4 linked regions of the Arabidopsis thaliana genome follow. The protein of the gene in region 3 purifies or fractionates together with the protein of the main gene of each other region. This does not show direct contact. Each region holds a gene or a part of one and is shown on either strand. Other genes may lie near its edges. The genes, in order: ndhH, CRR41, CRR42 and CRR6.

The links.
Region 1: the proteins of CRR42 (region 3) and ndhH purify together in Arabidopsis thaliana (affinity purification with mass spectrometry, with the first as the bait; one study listed by BioGRID). This does not show direct contact.
Region 2: the proteins of CRR42 (region 3) and CRR41 purify together in Arabidopsis thaliana (affinity purification with mass spectrometry; one study listed by BioGRID). This does not show direct contact.
Region 4: the proteins of CRR42 (region 3) and CRR6 purify together in Arabidopsis thaliana (affinity purification with mass spectrometry; one study listed by BioGRID). This does not show direct contact.

The regions. Positions count from the first base shown.
Region 1 is NC_000932.1:121,383-126,105, reverse strand, and holds ndhH (NADH dehydrogenase subunit 7), read left to right. Parts: upstream 1-2,913; coding exon 2,914-4,095; downstream 4,096-4,723. Other genes in the region: rps15 (ribosomal protein S15), read left to right, coding at 2,544-2,810; ndhA (NADH dehydrogenase subunit 1), read left to right, coding at 4,097-4,649. UniProt on the Arabidopsis thaliana protein: NDH shuttles electrons from NAD(P)H:plastoquinone, via FMN and iron-sulfur (Fe-S) centers, to quinones in the photosynthetic chain and possibly in a chloroplast respiratory chain.
Region 2 is NC_003070.9:18,931,581-18,936,209, forward strand, and holds CRR41 (potassium/sodium hyperpolarization-activated cyclic nucleotide-gated channel protein), read left to right. Parts: upstream 1-2,718; 5' UTR 2,719-2,761; coding exon 2,762-3,397; 3' UTR 3,398-3,719; downstream 3,720-4,629. Other genes in the region: AT1G51090 (Heavy metal transport/detoxification superfamily protein), read left to right, coding at 1,405-1,416, 1,542-1,623, 1,746-2,167; AT1G51110 (Plastid-lipid associated protein PAP / fibrillin family protein), read left to right, coding at 3,800-4,093, 4,163-4,216, 4,328-4,402, 4,503-4,625. UniProt on the Arabidopsis thaliana protein: Required for both formation and activity of the chloroplast NAD(P)H dehydrogenase (NDH) complex of the photosynthetic electron transport chain.
Region 3 is NC_003076.8:7,100,735-7,104,930, forward strand, and holds CRR42 (DUF3148 family protein), read left to right. Parts: upstream 1-2,649; 5' UTR 2,650-2,713; coding exon 2,714-2,964; coding exon of another isoform or gene 2,965-3,001; intron 3,002-3,096; coding exon 3,097-3,211; downstream 3,212-4,196. Other genes in the region: TSL (Protein kinase superfamily protein), read left to right, coding at 281-347, 444-513, 640-734, 828-1,007, 1,088-1,298, 1,383-1,647, 1,745-1,799, 1,877-2,041 and 1 more; AT5G20940 (Glycosyl hydrolase family protein), read right to left, coding at 3,342-3,814, 3,997-4,196. UniProt on the Arabidopsis thaliana protein: Required for both formation and activity of the chloroplast NAD(P)H dehydrogenase (NDH) complex of the photosynthetic electron transport chain.
Region 4 is NC_003071.7:19,613,115-19,617,753, forward strand, and holds CRR6 (chlororespiratory reduction 6), read left to right. Parts: upstream 1-1,542; 5' UTR 1,543-1,626; coding exon 1,627-1,822; exon of another isoform or gene 1,823-1,848; coding exon of another isoform or gene 1,849-1,900; coding exon 1,901-2,445; 3' UTR 2,446-2,655; downstream 2,656-4,639. Other genes in the region: NET3C (Kinase interacting (KIP1-like) family protein), read left to right, coding at 2,889-2,979, 3,061-3,647; AGP26 (arabinogalactan protein 26), read right to left, coding at 4,105-4,515; AT2G47935 (uncharacterized protein), read left to right, coding at 4,136-4,435, 4,475-4,607. UniProt on the Arabidopsis thaliana protein: Required for both formation and activity of the chloroplast NAD(P)H dehydrogenase (NDH) complex of the photosynthetic electron transport chain. May function in assembly or stabilization of the NDH complex.

The sequences.
Region 1 (4,723 bases), on a different chromosome or scaffold from region 3:
ATTCTAAAATAATTGAGTCATCAAAAAAAATTTGGCAGACATTCAAAAGAAAAAATACCCGATTAATTCGTAAATCCATTTTTTTTTTTAAATTTTGCATCGAACAAATGTCTATAGCTATTTTTCTAGGTATCATTAATATTCCAAGAATTACTACACAACTTTTTTTTGAATCAACAAAAAAAATTCTTGATAAATATATTTACAAGAATGAAGAAAATGGAGAAAAAAAAAAAAATACTCTTTATTTTATTTCGACTATAAAAAATTTAATATCCAATAAAAAAAAAATGAGTTATGACCTATGCTCTTTATCACAAGCATATGTATTTTACAAATTATCACAAATTAAAGTTAGTAACTTTTGTAAATTAAAGGCTGTTCTTGAATATAACATATGCATAACATCCTTTTTTGTTAAGAATAAAATAAAGGTTTTTTTTCAAGAACACGGAATCTTTCATTATGAATTGAAAAATAAAACCTTTTTGAATTCCGAAGTAAATCAATGGAAAAACTGGTTACGAAGTCAGTATCAATACAATTTACCCCAGATTTCATGGGCTAGATTAGTAACCCAAAATTGGAAAAATAAAATAAATAAAGATTCTCTAGTTCTAAACCCAAGTTTAACCAAAGAGGATTCATATGAAAAAAAGAAATTTGATAATTATAAAAAACAAAAATTTTTTGAGGCCGACTCATTATTAAATCCAAAACATAATGTAAAAAAAGATTCTATATATAATCTTTTTTGCTATAAATCTATTCATTCTACAGAAAAAAATTTTGACATGTCTATAGGCATTGCCCTAGATAATTGTTTAGTCTCTTCTTTTCTAGAAAAATATAATATTCGGGGTATGGGGGAAATTCGGCATAGAAAATATTTGGATTGGAGAATTCTTAACTTTTGGTTTACAAAAAAAGTAACTATTGAGCCTTGGGTTGATACTAAGAGTAAAAAAAAATATATTAATACTAAAGTTCAGAATTATCAAAAAATTGATAAAATAACGCAGACGGATCTTGCTAATAAAAAAAGAAACTTTTTTGATTGGATGGGAATGAATGAAGAAATACTAAATCAGCGTATAACAAATTTTGAATTTTTTTTCTTTCCGGAATTTTTCTTATTTTCTAGTACATATAAAATGAAACCATGGGTCATACCAATCAAATTACTTCTTTTAAATTTTAATGAAAACATAAATGTTAATAAAAAGATCATTCGAAAGAAAAAAGGTTTTATACCATCAAATGAAAAAGAATCCCTTCGATTTTATAATCTGAATAAAGAAGAAAAAGAATCGGCCGGTCAAGTAGAACTTGAATCAGATAAAGAAACAAAAAGAAATCCCGAAGCAGCTCGATTAAACCAAGAAAAAAATATTGAAGAAAATTTTGCAGAATCAACAATAAAAAAACGTAAAAATAAAAAACAATACAAAAGTAATACAGAAGCGGAACTTGATTTATTTCTGACAAGATATTCGCGTTTTCAATTGCGATGGAATTGTTTTTTTAATCAAAAAATTCTCAATAATGTAAAAGTATACTGTCTCTTGGTTAGACTAAACAATCCAAACGAAATAGCGGTATCTTCTATTGAAAGAGGAGAGATGAGCCTAGACATTCTAATGATTGAGAAAAATTTCACTTTTGCAAAATTAATGAAAAAAGGAATATTGATTATTGAACCTGTGCGTTTGTCTGTACAAAACGATGGACAACTTATTATATATAGAACCATAGGTATTTCATTGGTTCATAAAAATAAACACAAAATAAGTAAAAGATACAAAAAAAAAAGCTATATTAATAAAAAATTTTTTGAAAAATCCATTACAAAATATCAAAACAAAACTGTAAATAAAAAAAAAAATAATTATGATTTCTTTGTCCCTGAAAAAATTCTATCCCCTAAACGACGTAGAGAATTTCGAATTCTAATTTGTTTCAACTTAAAAAAAAAAAATGCTAGGGATACAAATTCAAGATTTGATAAGAATATTCAAAACTTGACCACCGTTTTGCATAAAAAGAAAGATCTTGATCTTGATAAGGATAAAAATAACTTAATTAATTTAAAATCCTTTCTTTGGCCCAATTTTAAATTAGAAGATTTAGCTTGTATGAATCGCTATTGGTTTAATACTACTAACGGAAATCATTTCAGTATGATAAGAATACGCATGTATACGCGATTTCCAATTCCTTAATCATAAATACTTTTTACTATATATAATAAGTTACGGTATATGAAAACAACTATATGCACAAATATGAGGGATTGTTTTAAATTAAATCTTTATACATGAGATTAATTTAATCAATCACATAGATACCAATTATAGCGGATTCATAAATAAATTAACAGAATCCTTCTTTTTGAGATCTAAATTTAGATTTTTTTCTAAAATGAAGAATTAAGAGGTTGATAATTAAATTAAGATCCTTGTACAAAAAAACTACCATTATTATTACTGATCAGTAAAATTAATATCTTTCAATTCATATTAAAAGGGGAAGGATTTCTTTTTATGATAAAAAATATAGTCATTTCATTTGAAGAACAAAAAGAAGAAAGCAGGGGATCCGTTGAATTTCAAGTATTTAGTTTCACTAATAAGATACGAAGACTTACTTCACATTTGGAATTGCACAGAAAAGATTATTTATCTCAGCGGGGTCTACGAAAAATTCTGGGAAAACGTCAACGACTGCTGGCTTATTTGTCAAAAAAAAATAGAGTACGTTATAAAGAATTAATTAATCAGTTGAATATTCGGGAATTAAAAACTCGTTAAATTCAAAAATTGTGAATTAGTGAATTTTTTAGATCTTGAATTTTTTGATAAACTTCTTTATTCAGAAATCTAATTCATGCCAGAACGAATCAAGGAAAAACTTATGAAGAGACCAGTTACAGGAAAAGATCTTATGATAGTCAATATGGGACCTCACCACCCATCCATGCATGGTGTTCTTCGCTTAATTGTTACTCTAGATGGTGAGGATGTTGTTGACTGTGAACCCATATTAGGTTATTTACACAGAGGAATGGAAAAAATTGCAGAAAACCGAGCAATTATACAATATTTACCGTATGTAACGCGATGGGATTATTTAGCTACTATGTTTACAGAAGCAATAACAGTAAATGGACCAGAACAATTGGGAAATATTCAAGTTCCTAAAAGGGCCAGCTATATCAGAGTAATTATGCTGGAATTGAGTCGTATAGCTTCTCATCTGTTATGGCTCGGCCCTTTTATGGCAGATATTGGTGCACAGACTCCCTTTTTCTATATTTTCAGAGAACGAGAATTTGTATATGATCTATTCGAAGCTGCCACCGGTATGAGAATGATGCATAATTTTTTTCGTATTGGAGGAATAGCGGCTGATTTACCTTATGGTTGGATAGATAAATGCTTGGATTTTTGTGATTATTTTTTAACAGAGGTTGTTGAATATCAAAAACTCATTACACGAAATCCTATTTTTTTAGAACGGGTTGAAGGAGTTGGGATTATTGGTGGGGAAGAAGCAATAAATTGGGGTTTATCCGGACCAATGCTACGCGCATCCGGAATACCATGGGATCTTCGTAAAATTGATCGTTATGAGTCTTACGATGAATTTGAATGGGAAATTCAATGGCAAAAACAAGGAGATTCATTAGCTCGTTATTTAGTACGACTTAGCGAAATGACAGAATCCATAAAAATTATTCAACAGGCTCTGGAAGGACTTCCAGGGGGTCCCTATGAGAATTTAGAAAGCAGGGGCTTTGATAGAAAAAGGAATCCAGAATGGAATGATTTTGAATATCGATTCATTAGTAAAAAACCTTCTCCTACTTTTGAATTATCAAAACAAGAACTTTATGTAAGAGTTGAAGCTCCAAAAGGGGAGTTGGGAATTTTTCTCATAGGAGATCAAAGCGGTTTTCCTTGGAGATGGAAAATACGACCACCGGGTTTTATTAATTTGCAAATTCTTCCTGAACTAGTTAAAAGAATGAAATTGGCTGATATTATGACGATACTCGGTAGCATAGATATAATTATGGGAGAAGTTGATCGTTAAAATGATAATTTATGCAACAGCAGTCCAAACTATAAATTCTTTTGTTAAATTGGAATCTTTAAAAGAGGTCTATGGACTCATATGGATATTTGTCCCTATATTTTCTCTTGTATTGGGAATCATAACAGGTGTACTAGTAATTGTGTGGTTAGAAAGAGAAATATCTGCAGGGATACAACAACGTATTGGACCTGAATACGCCGGCCCGTTGGGAATTCTTCAAGCTCTAGCCGATGGGACAAAACTACTTTTCAAAGAAAATCTTCGTCCATCTAGAGGAAATACTCCTTTATTTAGTATTGGACCATCTATAGCAGTTATCTCTATTTTACTAAGTTATTCAGTAATTCCCTTTAGCAATCACCTTGTTTTAGCGGATCTCAATATCGGTATTTTTTTATGGATTGCCATCTCAAGTATTGCTCCTATTGGACTTCTTATGTCAGGATATGGATCAAATAATAAATATTCTTTTTTAGGTGGTCTGCGAGCTGCTGCCCAATCGATTAGTTATGAAATACCATTAACTCTATGTGTTTTATCAATATCTCTACGTGCGATTCGTTGAAACAGAAACGTTTATTTTTACTATTCCGTTTCTTCTAGACGAATCAGTTAAAAAACGGAA
Region 2 (4,629 bases), on a different chromosome or scaffold from region 3:
CTTCATGTCTTCTCCCATCTATTTCTTTTCAGATACTATATATTGCTGCCTGTAACACATATCTTGAAAGAAACCTTTCGACGCGGTTTTGTTGTAGTTGTGATACTGATGCTACATAAAATGGTAATATCATCAAATGGTTGGTGTCTCTATGAAATATGATTAAGATCTTAGAAATGCATAAGATCAAACAACGAGTTAGAGCCACCACAATATGTAACCATGCTAAGATATATATATATACCATATCGTCTCTAAACATATAAATTTAGAATCAAACATTTTCAATGAAATCGCAGTTGATTTTTCAAGCCACACAACAACATAAAAACAAAGAAAATATTTAGGATTTGAGATATGGTAGAAAAATATGAGAGAGAATGATTATTTACATAATGAAAAGTGATTGAAGTTACCTTTTAAATGTAACTAAATTACATGAGTTACAATTCTAATTTGTTTGAATGACAATGAGTGAAGAAGAATATAATTAATACACAATTAGTATGATAGTTACAATTTAGTATTCAATGGTTGATTAATAAATGTGAATAAATTTATTGTTTTTGTGGGTTAATTGGAGATAAATATTATTCTATTTTTATTTTTGAAAAATTGGTTGTTAAAAATGAGACCTTATTTTTATATATACATGATTAAACTATTTTGAACTTGAATCCATTTGTTTTGGATTTACTCACTTTTCCAATGTTACTTATAGTTTCGCCAGTGGAATATAAGGTTAGAAAATATGAGAGTAAAAATCAGGAATTAGGACATGTAAAATCCAGAAATATCTGAGGACGGATCTCACGATTGATTATAAGATTCGCATTACATTTTCTCTTCATTTTTTTCAGATAAGAAAATTGGATTCTATCAATTTGTCGTCCTATTGTTCTTTTCTTGTTTGATATACAAATACGAGTCACTGATTTTTTTTAGTTGATTGGTAGAGTCTTAAAGGAAACATCAAATTCAGACAGTCCTTTTACAACCATTTCATCCATGTCGGCTCATTATTTCGCACCACAGAAGAATAACCCAAAATTATTAGAAAACTTGGACCACTATAAGCACTTGAACTGTGGTCGTGCACTGACTAATGTGAGCCCGTTTTGGTAATTCTCAGCTGTGTGCGTAATTGATGTCGGCGTCACCTTCAGAAACTTCGAAATTATGTGTGATACACCGTGTTTCATAAATTCATACACGTCATTTTAGATACAAAATTAGATATTTTCATTTGATAAAACCGAAAGAAATAATAAACTTTTTCTTTCTTGTTCTCATTTTAAGTCTCTCTTTATATCACTTTCTATATATATTGAATCATGCAAGGAATACACATAAAATACTTGTGTTCTTGTACTTGTTTGGTGACTCAAGCAAGACTCCCAAGCTATGGCGGAGAAGGTACTTTACCAAGATCTGAATTTTCATATTACTTCTCTTTTATTGATCATATCCATAATTACCCTCTAATAGAGTTACTAATTAAGGTAATAATGATCATGAAATTATATGATATGCACAAACAGGTAGTGATGATGAAATTGAAAGTGGATCTAAACTGTTCCAAATGCTACAAAAAGGTCAAGAAAGCTATCCGCAAATTCCCTCGTGAGTTTCTTTCTTTAATTTGAGTTTCTTTGTTCATTTGAATTATTGCGGGTTGAGAAGATTCTGAATCTTGATAAATGGATACGATTTTGTGGTATGTGTTGTTTTGCAAAAAAAAATAGAAATAACAGACGAATTGTTTGATGAGAAGTCCAACACGATCATCATCAAAGTAGTTTGTTACGATCCTGAGAGGCTAATGAACAAACTTTGCTACAAAGGAGACGGTTCTATCAAGTCCATCGTGATCCTTGAGCCACCCAAACCGCCTCAACCCCAGCCTCAACCACCTCAGAAGCCTACTGCCCCAGCCCCAGCCCCAGCCCAAGCCCAAGCCCCAGCTCTTGTTCGGCCGGCTCCGGTTCCTGTTCTTGTTTCGTCTTCCGCTCCTCAACCGATGCCGATGTGGCAGCCGTATCATTGTGGGCCGTATTACGAGGCCCAACAGTACCAATGTTATGGAAGGCCCGTTTACGAGAGCTGGGGAGGTGGACGACAATGTTGCCACGAAGATATGAACTCTCAAGGATGCTCCATCATGTGAAACACTGAACCAAGTCTCCTCCTACTCATATATAGACTATAGTATATACCAGCAAATAAATAACTACACGAAGTTATTTTTAATTGTCTTCGTCTTACCAGTATTTCTATTTCGAGTCCTCGTTTATGTATGTAAACACTACAGGGTTTTGTTTCTTGTGTATATCACGTTTTGGTTCTAATACAACTTTTATTTGCTCTTCTTTTCTTGGTAGTAAAATACAAATAGTAAGATTTTTCGCATAAAAATATAGTTTCTGTTAGAAAATAAAAGTATATTAGCACGAAAGAATGGAAACTAAAAACTCTGAGACCGGCCTCTCCAATGAGTGACATGAGTCGATGAATACTCAACTATTATGTTTTTACAGTTTACTTATCCACAGATGACACTGTTTCTTTCTACTGTGAAAAGAGCAGCCGTGGTGCTTACACCTCCACACGACACCGTTTAAACGGAAACTAAAAACGACGTGACGTTCTTGTCTGAAACACTTAAACGACGCTATAGTGTACTGTAACTCCAGAGAAGGCCTTATCTTTCTCCAATTCTCAAAACCCTCTTTAACACTCTTCCTCTAAGCTTTTTAAATCAATGGCTTCCACTTCCACACTTCTTCTTCCATCTCTCTCCTCTAAGAATCTTCACATCGCAGTCCCAATAAGAACCAATAGCTTCGTTCGTCGAACAACAAAGTTCTCAACAAAATGTTCGTCGAATCCAGAGTCAAAGGATCAATTCATCAATCTCACACCAGCACCTGAATCAATCAACACAACAAGCGCAGAGAAATTCCCAATAGAGAAACGAAGAAGATCAGAGATCATACGAGACAGAACACAAAGAGGAATCGAGAAACCAGAGCCACCAAACTTCGAAATCGGTTGGAAAAGAACAAAAGAGATAAACTTGGAGAAACCTAAAGGTTATGTAATAATGGATTTCTTAGAAAAGTTCGAAGCTTTAATGGCGAGAGAGTTTGGATCAAAGGAGCTTTTAGCTAAAGCTGGTGAGATTGTTGCAGAGAGAGCTAGAGAAGAAGCTGAGGTTTTGAGAGATGAAGGTAAAGTTGAAGAGAGAATGGTTACAGAGCTTTTTAGGGTTTTGAAATTGATGGAGATGGATTTAGCTATGGTTAAAGCTTCTGTTAAAGATGAAACTTTGAGTCAGAGGATTGAACAAGCTAGAGCTCGGTGTCGACAAGCTATTCTTGTTGCTAATTCTTTCTAATTCCTTCTTCTTCTACTTGCAAATTGAGTCAAAAGTCTATGAATTTTGTTTATAGTTTTACACAAAACAGAGCTTCTTCATCTGTAAAAGATCTTATTTTTTTGGTTCTGTAATCATCTCTGGATCATTCATCTGTTACTTTAATGGTAGAAGAAGGATTGAAGATGAGAGTCTCATGTGAAGAATCAAAACAAAGATTCATGCTTTTGGTTTTGCAATTTGTGAGGAAGCTTAAGGGTTTTTGGGAGGAAAAAACTTAATTAGTTGAGAAAATTTTACTTCCACTAGTTTCATATTTCAAGATATTTCACCAAGACTCAAGCTTTATTGTACACCACACATTAAAAATGCAAAGTTTAATCATTTTAACAAAAGCTTCACAAGCAGCAGTAGACAGCAACAATGGTGGCAGTCAGATTCTACGCTGTAGAGATGTCGCTACCATGTTTATGTCCATGCCCATCATCGCCGATTTCTCTTTCATTGTGTTCTCCGAGATTCAATCTTCTTAACACAACAAGCAGGAGACTAGGTTTGTCTAGAAACTGTAGAACTCTGCGAATCAGTTGTTCATCTTCATCTACTGTCACTGACCAAACTCAACAATCGTCTTTTAATGATGCTGAGTTGAAACTCATTGACGCTTTGATCGGAATTCAAGGCCGTGGCAAATCTGCTTCTCCTAAACAGCTCAATGTGTGTAAAAACTTTAAACTTTCTTTAATTTTCCGTCGTGTTTATGATTTGAGAGATTCTCTGTTGTAGGATGTTGAATCTGCTGTGAAAGTTCTTGAAGGTTTAGAAGGCATTCAAAATCCTGTATGAAATGTTTTCTTGTGAATCCTTTTATCTTCAAATTACCAAATTCTGTTATGTTTTGTTCTTTGACTCATTTGGTTGTCTTTTGGGGAATGTTGTTTAAATGTTTAGACAGATTCTGACCTAATCGAAGGTCGTTGGCGATTGATGTTCACCACAAGACCTGGAACTGCATCTCCAATCCAAGTCAGTTCTTCTCACACATTCATCATCATATCTCCATTTTTTCTAGATGATTGTAATTTGTGTGTAAGAAGAAGAGCAATGGAAGGATTTGTCTCTGCAGAGAACATTTACAGGAGTTGATGTGTTCACTGTGTTTCAAGATGTATACTTGAAGGCAACAAACGATCCTCGTGTTTCAAACATTGTTAAATTCTCTGATTTCATTGGAGAGCTGAAAGTTGAGGTGA
Region 3 (4,196 bases):
GAGTTCTTAGTATTTATCCAATATATCATTCATTTCTGTGATCATTTACACAAGGTTTGAAATTATATTTCACAGAGAGGTATAATAAAACATGTATAGCAAATACAAATTTGCTTTATAGTAAAATCTTTAAACAAACTCGAATAGAGTTTTAGATAGAAGTTGCTTTCACATTTCTCAATAATTGCAGCTCTCTTCTTTGCTAAGTTACAAGGTTAGTTCTTGATTTTGTGATCAAAATTTAATACATATGCTTGTGTGTGTTTTTTGGTGATTTCAGGACAGGAACGATCATAGCTGAGACATGGGAGGACGGACAAATGTTGAAAGATCTGAATGCTCAACTTGTAAGTTAAGCTGTGTAGCGAGGGATTTTTATCAAACTAATACCAATAAGCTTTGAAGTAACTGTACTGATTTTTCTATAAATTTGCAACGAAAAGAGACAATTGCTGGAAACCAAGGAGGCTATTGAGAGACAAAGAAAGTTACTTAAGAAACGACAAAATGGTGGTATGTTATCCCAGTATTTTTTTGTTTGTCAGTGAATCCGCAATCTCCTGTAATATATCTTGTGATTTTTTCCTTGGGCAAATTGTTATGATGTTTGGCACCCTTGGTTTTTCCATTTGGGTGTAGATAAGAATGACGGAACCGACACAGAATCAGGAGCACAGGAGGAAGATATCATCCCTGACGAGGTTTACAAGTCTCGTCTTACTAGTATTAAGCGGGTATGTTCTTTATGCATCATCTCAGCTTCTTGTTTCCTATAAGTTGATTCGGTTCTGGTTACGTATCATACATTTATTGGTTTTACCTTTCAGGAAGAGGAAGCTGTTTTGCGTGAGAGAGAAAGGTACACATTAGAGAAGGGGCTACTTATGAGGGAGATGAAACGCATACGAGATGAAGATGGTTCTCGTTTCAACCATTTCCCAGTTTTGAATAGCCGCTATGCTCTTCTAAATCTTCTTGGTAAAGGCGGATTTAGTGAAGTCTATAAGGTCAGAACATTGATAGATACTACATTCTTTTACATGTGAGAATTATTTTGCAGTAATATGATGTTATGGATTTTAAGCAGGCATATGATTTGGTGGACCATAGATATGTTGCGTGCAAGCTTCATGGTTTAAATGCTCAGTGGAGTGAAGAAAAGAAGCAAAGTTACATCCGCCATGCCAACAGGGAATGTGAGATCCATAAAAGTCTTGTGCATCACCACATTGTTCGGCTTTGGGATAAATTTCATATCGACATGCATACATTCTGCACCGTTCTGGAATATTGTAGTGGTAAATCAGAATTCTCCTATTCCTTTGTAGATCCTGGAGTACAGTTCTGAGTTCTCACTCTTATGTTTTGAATTTCTAATGCAGGGAAAGACCTTGATGCTGTATTAAAGGCAACATCTAATCTTCCTGAGAAAGAAGCAAGGATTATCATTGTGCAAATAGTTCAAGGCCTTGTATATCTGAACAAAAAGTCACAGAAGATAATCCACTATGATCTGAAGCCTGGTAATGTTCTCTTTGATGAGTTTGGAGTAGCAAAAGTAACTGATTTTGGTCTAAGCAAGATAGTGGAGGACAATGTTGGTTCTCAAGGAATGGAGCTTACATCACAGGGAGCTGGAACATACTGGTGAGCAATCTAGTTTTTGTCTCCTTGATATGGTCTATATTATTTTTGTCTCTTCTACTTCCGGACATCTTATAGCTAACAAGGTTCTATAATATAGGTACTTGCCCCCAGAATGCTTTGAGCTTAACAAAACTCCTATGATCTCATCAAAGGTCAGTGATTGGTCAATGATGTCATAATCTGATTATCTTATAGAAGTTTTGTGGTACTAAATTGTGTTGAAACTCAGGTTGATGTATGGTCAGTTGGTGTTCTGTTTTACCAAATGCTGTTTGGAAAGCGACCTTTTGGACATGACCAAAGCCAAGAACGGATACTAAGAGAAGACACAATCATTAAAGCCAAAAAGGTTGAGTTCCCAGTAACAAGACCTGCCATCTCAAATGAAGCGAAGGTAAATTAACTGTACCGGTCTTAAACATGGTTTAAGTAAAGTAGTACCAAATAGTCATGAAACTGTCTCTCCATGTTCTCACTTTTGCATTTTCTGCAGGATTTGATTCGACGGTGTCTAACATATAACCAAGAAGATAGGCCGGATGTTCTAACAATGGCACAGGATCCATATCTTGCCTACTCTAAGAAGTGAGATTGTGTAGTCTTCAAAAACAAACCAGAGATGCTAAAAGACCAGATCCTAGAATATTTTTTGGTATAGCTTATAAAGTTTCTGTTTTGTTTGTCTAAATATTTTATCTCCCGGCCCCTTGAACCATATTAATTTCGGGTGAAGTTAATGTGTCTTGTCTTCCTTTTATTATGTAACATGTTATGTATATTCTTCATGTTTTATAATAGAAGAAAGCTGAAAGTTGGAAACAGGCCCCAAATCGTTCTTGCTTCTCAGGTTTAAGACAATATGAAATGTGATCAATTGAAGAAATAAGAAATATAACAAATCCGGCTGGAGAATACTGGACTGGAACTGAACTAAACCGAAGAGTAAACCAAGACAAAACCGAAGATTGAAAATCATTGGCTTGCTAGTAAACTACTACGAGACAAAAGTCTACTTATCCCCCCACTCATACCACTAAAAAACTCACACTTGCTGGCTTCTTCTTCCATGGCTTTATCTTTTGTTTCTTCAACTAGATTCTCCAAGATGCAATATGGCATATGGCACAGTGGATCCTTCACGCAACGAGTCAGTGTGAGATGCTGTGAAATCGCAAACGAGGCTCCACGACCAAAATCGAAGCTCCAAGTAGGATCACCGATCATCATCGTCGAAGCTCCCAAAGTTATAAAAACGGCCGCTTCAATGCCTTGCCTTAGGGCCAACTCTGGCTTGGTCAAGCCTGGCGATGTTGGAAGGTCTTCTTCTTCTTCTTCTATTTTATACAGATTTTAAGACAAAACTCAGACTAATCATCTAAACAGTGTTTTCTTGCCAATTAAATTAGCTTAATTTTACTTCTCTTCTTTCTTATCCTATTGTTTTTGCAGAATCGTGTCGAGAAAACCAAAGGACTTGTGGGCAGTTAGACTCTCCATTGGAACATATCTTTTAGATGGTAAATATTTCAAAGCTTTAGAGCTTGACGAAGGAGATAGTGATTGAGAATTTGAGATCATGTCTCTAAAATTGTATAAGCAACAGAAAAATACGAATTATTATTTTAACATTTTGCCATTTTAAGTTTTGGCGCAACAATCTTATTAATGAACCGAAATTACCGAATCGAAAACCGTTAATTTGGTTTAGTGATCAACCCGAATCCAAACGGGTACAACGGGTCGTAATGCGGGTCACCAACGTTCATCGGCAACTGATCCACTGTCTTAAACCACGTCCGAGCCAATTTCCCGGTGAATCCATAATCTCCGAACAAAACATCAGCCACTCCTTGACCTTCCGTTCCCGGAAGCCACGCCGCCACTAGAGCATCGATGTTCGAAATCTGCATCACCACCGGACGTCCCGATACAACCACCACCACACATTTCACCGATGCGCACACGTTCCCGATCGTGCTCGGACCTGGTTCCGATATGGTTAAGTTCGTACTGTCTCCGAATCCCTCCGCGTACGGTTTCTCTCCGACGGCCACGATTGCGTAATCGAAGTCACCGGCCTTGACGAAATTGGTGTCGGGGTTTTGATTGTAGATAACTTGCGTCTTCGGATCCACCGTCTTCTTCACTGCGGCGAGGATCGTTGTTCCTGCAACATTCAATTTCAGACTGGTAAATATATGTTCTTCATTAGTGTTGCATATTGAAATCACAACACACAAAAAGTGGTATGAAAATGAATCTTAGAGTATGTCACTTGTTCTGAGAAACCCTAATGTTCTTCTATATGATGATGATTCATTGGAATAGAGTGAGGAAAGGTGTGTGTACCAATGGTGAGATTGTTGCCATTAAGGCCTTGCCATGTGATTGTCCAGCCACCACATTGGTATCCCAAGTTATCAGCATGTGTTCCTGCGACAAGGATCTTATTGGCTTTCTTTGGCAGAGGAAGCAACGGCTTATCTGCGTTTTCACCATTCTTCAACAACACGAGAGATTTCCTCACTGCTTCCCTTGCCAGTTCCCTG
Region 4 (4,639 bases), on a different chromosome or scaffold from region 3:
TTGGGAACAGTACCCAGGTCCCAGATTGGGGCATCGAAATCGACAACCAACACTCGAAAGCGAATGCCTTTTACAACCCACAGAAGAAGAAGCGGTCAGAGGAAATAGATTTTAGGGTTTGACGGGGGAGTGAATATGTATGTCTGTCTCTGTGTTATCCAATCGCTTCCTTCCTTGTCTCATTTTTAATTGTTGTCAGTCAGTCATTTTATTATTTTATCATTATTTTCTTCAAACTAAATTTGGTAACAAAGTTTTACATTTCATTCTAATTGACCGTATTCTTACCGATTTATCTTCTGCCTTTTTAATTAAGGGATATATATAAAGAAAGCTTTTCAATTATAGAAATAAATTAAGCTGCCACATGATAACGAAATTAAAGTGTGCTTTCTATGTATTTCTCTTTCTCGTTGTTATCTTTTGTTTTGGTAATGTTTCTAGAAATGTTGGAACTTCACCGAAATAAACATGGTAACTGACTAGATTCTAAAAAATCTTGTTCAAAATTCATCATATAAAATAGACATCTGAAGATAAGAAGACTTACAAATAGAATACTTTGGTTTAATGGAAACTTTCTTTCCGTTTTTCCTCTTTTTACGCAATTGTATTTGACAAAACAAAACTAAGCAGAGTAAGCTTTTTGTTGCCGTGATCACAGCACTTTCGCCGCTTTAATGGGCCAAAAGGTGTTTTAACGTTTTACTTTATATAATTAAGATGAAATCTTCCTTCTTTGGATATAAATAATGATTTGGACAACTACTGATTTGGTCAAAACGTAAACAAAAACAAACAAACAAAGGAAAACGTCAAAAAAAAAAAAAGGTGTTATGAGTTATAAAAAATAACATTATTGGGCCGTAAGAATCCTTTTTTTCGTCTATATGGGCCGAATTGAAGTCTAAATGGGTCTCGATCTTAACTATGCCTACACAGCATAAAGAAGTTAATCACTACAACAAAATCATCATTTGGCCTTATAATAGATATTCATTCTCAGGCACTCTAAGACACTGTGAAGTGGATCTTTTGACGCTTATGTTCATCTTACTAGATTGCATAGGTGAGCTTTTTCTCTCAAATCATATTATCTTTGCCACTGCTATGGTAGAGACCTTGGGGACTTATCTTTGCCAAGGAATGTTCCATTGCATAGCTATTTAAACTTTAAAGTGAGCAGAATTCTCAGTCTTTGAGCTACTTACTTACAAAGCCTCTATTGTGCAACTCCTTTGACCCGGTACGACCTTGGAAGACAAAGAAGGCCTCACTGCTTGCAAGGGGCAATGGCGAAGAAGAAGATCAGAGACGGTCAAGCTTGCAGATGCTCCTGAAACACCTCACCAACAGTGAAGGAGATTCGACAATGCCTACATCTACATGAGACCGAGGAGGCTGACTTGAGTTGAAAACATTCCACATTAAAGAAGAGAGCTCTTCATTTTTCTGAACGATTGAAGAAATGCATTCTGCTTAACATTTGAAACCTTTACGACAGACAGCAAAATATATGTATTTGTGCGGTGAAGGAAAAAAGGATAAAATGGAAAGAAATGAAGAAAAGGCCAAAAGAAGAGGATAAAAAGAAGACTAAGACACAAAGAGAGATAGCGTCTGTGAATGGCAACAAAGGCAGTTCTTCTCCCGTGGCTTATCCCATCGCCGAGACACGTATCGCTGTTCCCAGTGGTTCAATTGCCGGCGTTGGAGACCGCCGGGTGGTGTGTAAGAAAGAGGAGGGCAGAAGACGTAGCAGTCTCCGTCGCCTTCAATCCTTCTGGCAATTTCGACATCTCTGCCTTCGAGAATGACCAAGGTTCGTACTTGCTCAATTGATTCAGAATGATAAATAAAAAAAGGCTGCTACTAATTAATTATGTGAAAGGCGTAGCAGATTCAGATAAAGTGGAACCTCCGATGCCTCCAACGACCGGCCGGTACGAAGTAGTGATCGACAACGACTCAATTGGGCGGCTTGACCTATCCCCGTTTCAGAGAGCCATCGGCATAACCTCGCCTGATGATTTTGGTGTAGCTGAACCAAAACGGTATTTGGATCGAACCATCGGATTCACCATCAATTACAAGAGAGAAGACCCCGGGGATCCGCGGGAGCTGTCAGAGTACCCGGACGTAAGACTATGGTTCGTGAGGCTCGACGCGATGTACCCTTGGCTGCCTCTGCTGCTGGACTGGCGAGCTGGAGAACTTGCTCGATACGCAGCCATGTTAGTGCCGCACCAGATGAGCTTGAGAATGGGTGTCGTTTTCAATCCGGAGGCGTTGGAGCTTTTCGTAATGAACAAAGTGTTTGTGGTTTATCCGTGGCTGAAACGGCACGGCGTCCCAAAGCCCAGGTTGAAGACGAGCGACATGGCCAGGATGCTCGGATTCGGTATCGGCGATGAGCTCTTCGACTTGATCGATCACAATGAATGAAAAACGATGTGTTCTATCTTCAAATTACATACGTGGGCCTAATTGTGGGCTTACAATGAAAAAGGCCTGGGGATGGTAATTAAGAGGATTTTTTTGGGTATTTGATACACACGTGGCGAATATTCATTGGATAAGTTGTATTAATAGCCGTAAAATCTGGGAAAATAAATTCAAAATCTCGAATATCTGAAGAGAAGAGAGAGCCCATTCAAAATTTGAAAAACAAATCAACAATTGGTTTATTCGTATCTTTCTCATTTCTCTCTAGTCTATATCGCTCTCAGAATACAATTGGAAAAAAGAACAAGGTATTTAGGAATCTCTCATTCTTGAGTAGCTAAGCATTGAGGTCTCCTTTGCGTTTATAGATTATTTTTTTTGGTTGAAATTGTTTGGTTCTGTTGGGATATGTTGTTGTGTTAGGGAAGAGAACACAAAAAGAAATGGTTAGAGAAGAGGAGAAATCGAGATGGTGGTGGTTCGAGAGCCACAAGAGCTCCAAACATTCTCAATGGCTTCAATCAACACTCGCTGGTTGGTTCTTTTTCTCACTCAGTTCTTCTCTATGTTTTGTGGTTTTTGCCAACTTTTTGGTGTGAAACGTTTGTGGTGCAGAGATTGATGCAAAGACAAAGGCAATGTTGAAGTTGTTAGACGGAAACGCAGACTCTTTCGCTCAGCGTGCTGAGACTTACTACAAGAAACGTCCTGAGCTTATCAGCTTTGTCGAAGACTTTTATCGAGCTCACCGTTCCTTAGCCGTGAACTTCGACCACCTCAAGTCTTCCGACCACTATGGATCTCGCTCCGCTAAGGTTCCCCAACAATCCATGGAGTCCGTTTGTGACAGCAATTCTCACTTTGAAGATGCCGATTCTGAGATTGAAGACCCCCTTCAAGATGATGCCTCCGCAGCTGATTGCAAAGAAGATGAGACTTGGCAATTGGAACAAGAAAGGTTGAAGCTGATCGAAGAGACTGATGCTCTGAGGAAACAGCTCTTAGACAAGGACGAAGAGAAGAGAGAGGTCATCAGACAGCTTTCTCTAACCCTTGAGACCCTCAAAGACGAGAACTTGAGCCTCAAGAGACGCCTTGCCCACCATTCTCTCAAGCAACGCACCGTTTTGGAGTTCAAGCCACTAAACAAGTTCTTTGGGAAGCTGTTTTACATTATGTGCGATGGCAACAAGGTCCTTTAGGTTGGCTCATCTACCTCATGAGCTTAGCTTCGATATTTTCTGTGGTTCATTTCACTGTTTATCAAGATATATCCTGTCCTTTCCGTGCTGTATTATAACCGGTAATTATCCTACTTAATAATGCATGCTGTTCTGATTTGTTCAATCACAAGAACCCAGTTTCAGACAAGGACATGTGATGAGTGATACATAATTGGATGATCAATCAATTTTGACTTTGAGGCACAAAAAACACACACTATCACTGCTACCAAGTACAACAACTGCGCACTAGCCCAAACTGCAGAGTGCTTTATGAGCAAATCTCACACGAACGAACACTAGAAGAAGCTATATTAATATTACATGAAAAAAATTCAGAAGAAGCAGAGAGTAAGAAAGAATACATTTGTGAATATTTGGTTTCTGCTGATGATATTGTGTAGAGTGCTGCTTACTCGCTGTTTCTATATGATTACTAGAAGAAACTGCAGAAAGCTAGTAGCAACATGAGTAGGACAAGAAGCAGAGATGAGAGTTGTGATGAGACCAAACAAACAGAGGAAGAAGCTGGAAGAGGAGATCCAACTGGAGAAACTTCGAGCAGAGGATCAGGAGTGACAGCATCTGGGTTTGGTGGACTAAGGCTTGAGGGGATTGTCGGCATGATAGACGATTCCGACGGGGAAGGAGACATTTCGCTTGAACCTGGAGTAGGGAACAGGGGAGAGGTATCTGGAGACATGGCCGGGGTAGAAGCTGAGAAACTCGATGGAGCTTCAGGCAAGAACGAAGGTGCAGCTGATATGGTGGACAGCTGAAACTCAGATGTTGAAGTGTGTAAACAGAGTGAGAGAACGGTGAAGGCAGTGAACAGAGAGACGGACATGGTTACTGTGAATGTCTCTCCTGCTTCTCTGAGAATGTTTCTGAGAGACCTTAAGAAACTGAAGAAGAAAAAGGTATACAGCTATAGAGGAGGTAAAAGACAAGATTGGTGGGTTTGGTTGTGG